Linked DNA regions of Oryzias latipes. The protein of the gene in region 1 purifies or fractionates together with the protein of each later gene. This does not show direct contact. Links are inferred from orthologs where the notes say so. Each region holds a gene or a part of one and is shown on either strand. Other genes may lie near its edges.

Region 1 (4,914 bases):
ACTTTCAAACTCTCCAGCGTCCAGAAGAACGGAAGAAGAAAGCAGCAAAGATTTATGAAGAGTTCATCAGGGATGACTCCCCTAAACAAGTAAGATAAACAGTCACAAATGCTGCATGTGAAACAGTCATGCAGGAGGCTGTGAGTGTTGTGCATAATGTATGAATTAAATAAATAAAAACTGCATGTTCAGTATGCATTTCTGGTTTGCGATCTTTGCAGGTAAACCTAGATTTCAACACGACAAAAGTCATCTGCCAGAGTTTGCAGCAGCCAGGTCCATCGTGCTTTGTCGTGGCACAGAAGAAAATCTTCAGCCTGATGGAGAACGACTCTTTCTCGCGCTTTTTGCAGTCCGAGCACTACAAAGTTCTCACTGGTGCGGCCTCTAAACCACGCGGTCTTCGGAAACACCGCGCAGCCATGAGGATAAAGTCTGCAGGGGATGAGCTGGAAGTGAAAAGGCTGCAGGATGGCCTTCTGCTCTGGCATGAGCACTGACTTTAGTTGAGCTGATACGTATATGCAAAATGTCACACAGGCAGATGTGGTGCTGTGACATTCATGTAGGTACCTCCACATTTGCAGCACCATAACTCGGCCCAGCAAGTTAACAACTGGAAATGACTAAAAGCAAAAAACAAAAAAATTCCAGTGATAACACACATTTAAGCAGAATTGTTTTTGAATGAAATACTATTTATGAAAATATATTTTTTATATATATCTGTTTTTTGTTTAGTTGCTGGGATGAAACTCATTTTTGTGACCTGACAGTTGATTTGATTAAGTGTGCTATCTAGTGGTGTCTTGGGGGAAGTACAAGCAAAATGAAATCATGACCAATTGCTTTTGTGTGTAGATCATTGTAGATCAGTGCTGCAGAATCAGAGAGTATTAACACAATGTTCCATTGATAAAATAAAAGTTTTATTTTAAGTATAATTTGGTTTATAATTTAGTCCCCCCCACCTGTTGTTTTCTTTAATCACGTTGTCACTTTTCCAAGTGATATCAGACCATAAAGGGCACAAGTGGACAACTCCATTATGTATCTGGTTGGTTTTCAAGATTGGGTATGGTAGTTACATGATGACCAGAGAAACCTCCCTAAATGATTGATCAGAAAACATACAAGTGAGTTTTATCGTTCTGTTTTTCAGGTCATTCCTCATCAATTTGTTGCATGTTTAAAGGATCAGTGTGGTACCATTTGGGCAAAATATGGCCACAAGGAGAAAATAAATAAAAAGAATGCAGAAGACTGTTGTAAGTGAAGATTCTGACTACACGGGACAGCTACATGAAAAAATGAGATGCAAAGTTTATGCAAACTTTATGACGATATCAACATGTAGGTATATCTAAAAAGAACAGAGAAGCAAGTGGCAGAAAAGAATAATTTTGATTGTTTTTCTTCCCCACATATGTATGATACCCCTCTTTCTGCTGTCATTTGTCAGTATTGGTTGACTATGACATAAATGCTTCAAAAACTAACACATTAAAACGTTAAAAAAATAACCTGGAGGTTAGATGAGCATTAAACATGGAGCTAAAATGGAAAATGTAAAAATAACAGCAGAAGTGACAGTAGATTTCCATCTAAATGTTTGCTAGAGCAAACCTGAGAATCAGGAGAGATAACTAGGATATTTGAGTCTAGTGTAAATGATCATTAAGATCAGTATCGGCACCAATCACAAGTGGGAGAAATATAAAACTCGTTCTTCTTTTGTTCTTGTTTAGGTTTAGAGCTTATAACGTTAACAAATGAATGAAAGCTTTTTAATTAAATATGCATTTTTCCAGCACATCACATTTTGCGTTATGTCGTGTATTTTTGGGCACATTAACATAAAAATAAAATGTACAAAACATTGTAAAATTCCACAAAAATAAAAATCCCAGAATTCTCAGCGCCTTTGCCGAATGAACTGTTCTGCGCCTGCGTGTACTCAACTATCTCCCAACAGCCACCGCGGTGCTGCCCCTAAACTCTGCCGCTCCATCGGGAGGCCTCGCAGAATTATTTATTCTGCGTCCTAACTTCATTTTTTTGCATTTTCCCCGCGGTATGTCCGTGTCTATGTCATATAGTAGACGGTATATATTTTGACTGTTTGAAGAAATAATATGTTGACTGTGAACTTACCGTTTTCATTTAGTGAGTCAGCAGACAGCTAATCAACCGTTGGTTTACTCTAGACTAGAGTTCAGCTCAAATCGCTGAAGTTAAAGTTTTGGCTAAAAAACAAATTAAGCAAATATTTTGTGTATTTTCTGAACATATTAGTCAAGATTCTTTACTTGTCTAATACTGTTACCTTATTGTTTTTTATATTTTGAAGAGAACGTTATAATAATGTTAGCAAACTCGTCAGAACTAGCTTAGTTTGAAAACGCCGTAGCTGGAGAGTCAGTTGTCCTAACCGCCTCAAACATGCAATTCGCTTTGGTCTGCATTATCTCAGTAACTGAGTCTTGCTTTCTTCCACCTATCATTATGGTCCCTAATCGGCTTTAGTCTATTTTTGCCTATCAGTAAAGCTATCAGTAAAGAAATGTTACTGGACGTCATTCGTTCTGGTGCTGTTTGCTGTTGATCGCGAGAAAAAAAAGCTGACGTTTGACCAGCTACCCCCACCACAAAAAAAAAAAACAAGTCAAACTTCCTGTGAAATTCCATACTCTGTGTTCTCTGCAGGCTCCATCTTCGTTTACCTCTGTCTCAGACCTTCCAGTTTCTCAATGGAGCCCCCGGCAAACTCTACAAACAATCACACAAGTGCTGAGGATCCATGGGAGATCACGGACAAAATCCGACTGCGGCGCTTCCTCTGCTACGGCTCAGAGGGAGACATTTTCACTGCCAAAGGTGAGAGCCACGTCAGCGTGGACAATGCTGAGGCCCTGCTCTCCTTACTTCAAGAGGAGGAGGGTGGTGCTGAAGTGGTGGAGGAGATCAGAAGGTTTGTGCAGAAGGGGCTGGCCGTTCGATTAGGCCCCACTTTTTTTGCCCTGGCTTTATGCTCCCAGCACTCCAAGCTAAATACCAGAAAGGCAGCATTCAAAGCACTGAAGGACATTTGCTCGGACCCTGCCCATTTGTTTGCTGTTATTCAGTACAAAAAGGAACTGAGAGAAAGGATGGAGTGTGGGATCTGGGGGCGCGCCCTGAGGAAGGCGGTGTCAGACTGGTATAATAAGCAAGATGCCATGGCTCTAGCTGCAACTGTGACTCGATGTAGGCAGAGAGAAGGCTGGTCACACAAGGATCTTCTCAGACTGTCTCACACCAAACCATCCACAGAAGGTGAGCTTTTTATTTTTAGTTGTTGTAGAATGGTTACATAGAAATATCCCGATCGGATTTTTTTTTTGTGCCCCCAATCAGTCGTTTGATTTTGAGGATCTGCTGATACTATTGTAACACATAAAAAAAAGAACAAATATAATAAACATATCCAGATTCTCATCTATTCTTATTAAACATATTTCTTTTATCAGTTAACACTTAAACAAGAATGTCTAGGAAATAGCTTGAACAACCAAGCAACAACAATAGTTAAAAATGAACTTGTAAAAATAGGGGACAATAAGTCAAGTGAAAAAGTTTGGTGTCTGTAGCATTAGTATTTTTAGAACCCTTGAACATTTATGGTCATATGTGATTTATATCGCCATTAAAAGCAATGACTTCTATAATCATTGTAGCAAGAAAAGGACGATGAGCATTCATGACTAGCTCATAGTTTATTTGATTTGGTTGTTTTTGAGTGATTATGAATTTTTATCTATGATCACCTTTTCCTGGAGCCATCTCTCCGATTATTCCTCATTGAAGGGTTTTGTTTGCATTAGGAAAAACGAATAGACACTTGCTGTCAGTTCAAAACGTTTATTCAAAGAGTTATTTAGCCCAGAATTTGTGAATAGTTTGCTAACACTTTTATCTGCTCCAAATAGTGCCATATTCTGCTGCACTATAAAATGTCATGATCCAGTCATGATATGTAGGCTTCTACATGGGCATTTACTTGAAGGAAGCTTGAAATATGTAGCACTGGTCATGATGGTAATAGTTAAAAGATCCCATCCCTGATCGGGATACAACATCGGATTTGGATAGCCTGAAACTACGTGATCGGCCCCGATTCCCGATCAGATCGGTACATACCTAGATACATAGCAGGTAGCCTTTTTGAGTTCTTGCTAAAACCTTTTTGTGTACTGTAGCCATGCGCTCTATAAACATGAATGACAGTTTGGTACGTATTTGGTGCAAAATTTTATAGACATAAATTAAACCAACATGTTTAAAATATAGCCAACTTTCTAAACATTTGGGATTTTGTAACTTTTTAAACTCAAGATTTGCCAGAGGTTATAATGTTCCTGCTTGAAAATGATTCTAATGTCTGTCCCGGTTTGCAGCCGTTGCCCTGATCAGCAAATATGTAACAAAAGGATGGACGGAGGTCCAGGCCTACTATGCAGACAAAGAAAACTCTGACGAGGTGGTCAAAGTGCTCTCATACCTGGAAGCGGTAGAGAAGGTGAAGCACAGTTGTGATGAAACGGTGGTCATTAATCTAATAGAGGAGCACAAGCTGGAGATGGAGCAGCTGCTCACAGAGAACCTGAAATCCAAGCAGGTGAGATGTTTTCACATATGAGGTTTCTTCTGGGATTTTTGCAAATAAGCTTCCGCTTCACCAACTTGACACACAAGAAAATCATTTGGAAAATTTGCATTTTATTTTCTTATGAGTTTTTTTTTTTTTCCTACGCCTCCTGGTGTAGCTGCAGAAAAAGTAAAGAACCCAACAACATCCCTGCATGCGTCTAATGTGGGAATGCTGATGTCGTTGCATCTTTTTTGAAGGTATGGAGATCTCTGTTGAAGGACATG
Region 2 (3,586 bases), on another chromosome or scaffold:
CCCTCACCAATCATTGATAAAAGCTGGTTTTCACCACCTTGTCCAATACATTTAGGGTTTGTATTTTTTTTAATGTGCAATCAGATTTATGTGAGTTAGGTGATCATATAGTCGGATAATACACTGAAAATCCTGTTACAAAGTGGTGTGGGATGCATAAGCCATGTGTGTTCAAACCTCATAAAGTTTGACTTTTTAGCAGAATTCTTCCATGACTATTATACAGGCACAGCGCTCTGTTGCCAAACACAAACAGCCATTTGACACTACCGCTCATAAAAATGAAAAAAAAAAAACTAAATTCAAGTAGAAAGCAGCCGACATCAGTCCAATATGAGAGTAGATCTTTACAGTAAAGAATTGGAGGATTTAACAGTTTTGTGATTTAGCTGGAAATCCATTCAATCCCTCACTCATGTTCGACTTAGTTCTTTGGTGATGGTTGTTACATTTGTGGCTTTTCCAAATATTGAAACTATTTTAACATGTTTCTTGCAGGGAAGCCTACCACGAAATGAAGGCAAAAGAGAAAAAACAGTTCAAAGTGGAGACCAAAGCTAAAGCCAGACAGTAGGAACGCCTGCTTTATATACTTATTGGTAGCTTTTATTTTGAAAACTGAATCTCATTTAATACTTTTTTTTTTCTTTAGGGAAAGGGAGCAACAACAAAAAAATGCTGAAGAAACAGAAATGGTAAGCTGCCCCGAGTTTATACAAATACTTGACATATGTGTGAATAATGCACATTATTTAAATGCATAGTTTTTTTCCATTTCTGCACCAAAAATGCTTGGCTGAAATTACTACGTTTTTTTCGGTAAAACTGTCGTTTTCTAGAACAAAGTTTCTGCAGAGCGACAATAGTTTATTAGAAATTCATCGCAGTTGTTGGTGAGAAGTAAGCCCACGCTAACATGTAAGCCTCCCACCACAGCCCCCCACAACCCCAACCGAACATTAGCAGTGAAACAAAAATGCAGAGCAATATCTGAGCTATCCAGCGGAACAGTTTGGATCCAGATTCCAGCTCAGACGAGGAAAACAAAGACATTCATGGATCCATTTGTCTGCAAGTGGATGCATCAGAATGGAGCAGAGCAGGAAGCTTGTGGCCCTCTAATTGTAGTTTCCACCCAACAATCTACAATCTGCACCACGGGGGCGGCCGTGGTGCAGCGGTAGGGCGGTCGACCCATGATCATAAGATTGCAGGTTCGATTCCCGCCTTGCACGCCCATGTGTCGAAGTGTCCTTGGGCAAGACACTGAACCCCACCTTGCCTCTGGTGGGAGGTTGGCGCCAGTGTTCGGCAGCGGAGCTGCCGCCAGTGTGTGAATGTGTGTGTGCATGGGTGAATGGGACTGTGACTGTAAAGCGCTTTGGGCCTTCGTAAGAAGGTAGAAAGCGCTATATAAGTATACGCCATTTACCATTTACCATCTTTTTCAAACTACTTTTTTTTCCCCGTCTGCTCCTGATTCACCACAATTTGAATAAATACTCAAAAAGGCAGTTTTAATTTTCTTTATAAAAGTCCTCCATCTTGAGAAAAATGCTACAAGAACATGTTCAAAACACAATTTTCACTGAAGTGGGTCTTCATAAAATAAAGCTTCTTAAATTCTCAACTGGTTTTACGTTGATCTGCTTTTATAGGGACGTCTTTTGGAGGAACAGACGGGTTGTCTGCTGAAATTTTCTGGGGAGCTTGAAGACGTGTCAAGAGAAGATTTTCACAAACTGTTTTCAGGCCATGGAAACATTAAGTGGGTTGACTTTGCCAGAGGGGCCAAGGAGGTAAGCTAGCTTAGTACGAATAACATTAGAAAGGTCAAGTCCACAAGACTGTTCTTTTCAGCTTTTTTTTCCCAAAAAGGGCACCCTCCTTTTTGATGGAAATGCCAAGGAAGCCTTTGAAAAAGCCAAAGAAGCAAATGGGGGGGAACTGAAAATCAAGGACAACGTTGTTACGTGGGAGCTGCTGGAGGGAGACGAAGAGAAAGAAGTGATGAAGAAAATCATCGGAGCTCAACAAGAATCATTTAACAGATCTAAAGGAAGGGGTAAGTTCTTTATCTTCTGACCTAATGTGTCAAAAAACTCAAACCTTTTAAAGTTAAATTGTTTATTAATGTTGCTTTTTTGACTTACAAGGAGGAAGAGGACGATCAGGTGGGAGAGGAAGAGGAGGCTGGAGGGGAAGAGCTGGGAAAGGTCAAGGCAGAACTCCGTTCCAAGGAAAGAAGACAAAGTTTAACAGTGATGACGAGGAGGAGGAAGATGGTATGTTTAATGCAAGTAAAAACTTAATTTCTATTTTTTATAAATACAACATTAGTCTGTTTTCTGCTCTTCTTTCAGCTCCTGCTCCCCAAAAGAGAGAACTCGAAGACGGTGATGGCCCTGCAGCAAAAGTTGCCAAAACTGAAAATGGATCTTAATGACGAGAAAGCAGTTTTGTTTTTTTTATTCAAAACATTTATTACAAATAGACAAGTTAAATCCATTCCAGTGAAAGCTTCAGGCCTTGGAGAAACGTAGGAAGTCCACCTGAATATCGACCTAGAAGAAGAAATGTAAAGCTTAGGTTCAGTTTGCAGCCTTCAAGTTTATGTTGTGCCTCTCAAATTATTTGGATGATTTTCCTCTGAAGAGATTTTGTTTTTAGTCAACATAAACCTGCTTTCAACAATAATTTAATTTCTCCAGAATGTTTTAGTTGCTTTTTTTCTTTTCCTTTTTTTTAAAGACGTGTGATATTTGCAACGTATGTGCCGCATTGTTTTGTGTTTGTAGACTTCCTACACTGAGAAAATATGTACTTGGTTATTTTTTTTAAGTAAGCATATGAGAATAGAAAATAAAACATTTATAAAAACAAACAGACCTGCTTTTATTCTGACAGTGCGTGTGTTTAAAGGTTTACCGATTTCTTTTTGTGAAACTTGTAAGATGCTGGCAAATCATATCGTAGCTCTGAAGAAGAAGAAAAAAGTTTATTTATTTGGAGAGTTTAAAGAAATGTTTGACCTTGAACTTTACTGACCTGCAATGACTTCCATTTTTACTCCCCAATCTTTAGCCTTTTTTTGTATGTGCTGGAAATGGATAAAGAATAATGTCAAATTCTTAAAGATTCAGAAAAAAAAGACCAGGAAACATTGGAAAGCAGCTGAACTCGCCTCCCGCGTTGAAGTCTTGTGAAGCGAATACACGGCCGTTTCTGCCATTGTCAAAGCAGCTCTGAGAAACTTCATGTCCATACCTTGAAGCAAGGCCACATGGAATTAAATTTACATGCAAGCAGCGTGCCTGAGTACAATACATTTTCAGAAACTTAAAAAGTCCATTAGAAAATTGAACCAAGTAAAATTTCACTGTTTTTAGGGTTTTGGTAGTTAATCTGCCATCAAATTATATAGCCATTCTTGATGTCTAACACACAAGGTTAATTTTCTAAACATTTAATTTGATTTATTTCAGGCATTGTAGTCAAATCAATTAAGGATTTACCCACGTTTATCAAACTCATAACAGAAATGATCAAATGCATAGATTAAAAAAATCACTTAAATCACATATGC

Evidence for each region. Proteins that work in one complex are often made in the same cells at the same time.
Region 2: the proteins of trove2 (region 1) and ssb purify together in Homo sapiens (affinity purification with mass spectrometry; 3 studies listed by BioGRID and IntAct, with this or other methods). This does not show direct contact. The link is inferred for Oryzias latipes from reciprocal best matches to the Homo sapiens genes RO60 and SSB.

The regions. Positions count from the first base shown.
Region 1 is NC_019875.2:16,903,071-16,907,984, forward strand, and holds the start of trove2 (60 kDa SS-A/Ro ribonucleoprotein), read left to right. Parts: upstream 1-1,937; 5' UTR 1,938-2,074; intron 2,075-2,706; 5' UTR 2,707-2,750; coding exon 2,751-3,315; intron 3,316-4,436; coding exon 4,437-4,657; intron 4,658-4,887; coding exon 4,888-4,914. Other genes in the region: regulator of G-protein signaling 21-like, read left to right, coding at 1-89, 222-500. UniProt on the Homo sapiens protein: RNA-binding protein that binds to misfolded non-coding RNAs, pre-5S rRNA, and several small cytoplasmic RNA molecules known as Y RNAs.
Region 2 is NC_019879.2:21,752,128-21,755,713, forward strand, and holds the end of ssb (lupus La protein), read left to right. Parts: intron 1-498; coding exon 499-570; intron 571-652; coding exon 653-695; intron 696-1,658; coding exon 1,659-1,799; intron 1,800-1,878; coding exon 1,879-2,065; intron 2,066-2,156; coding exon 2,157-2,285; intron 2,286-2,363; coding exon 2,364-2,443; 3' UTR 2,444-2,522; coding exon of another isoform or gene 2,523-2,564; 3' UTR 2,565-2,884; downstream 2,885-3,586. Other genes in the region: mettl5 (methyltransferase-like protein 5), read right to left, coding at 2,523-2,564, 2,929-2,978, 3,049-3,100, 3,185-3,267. UniProt on the Homo sapiens protein: Binds to the 3' poly(U) terminus of nascent RNA polymerase III transcripts, protecting them from exonuclease digestion and facilitating their folding and maturation.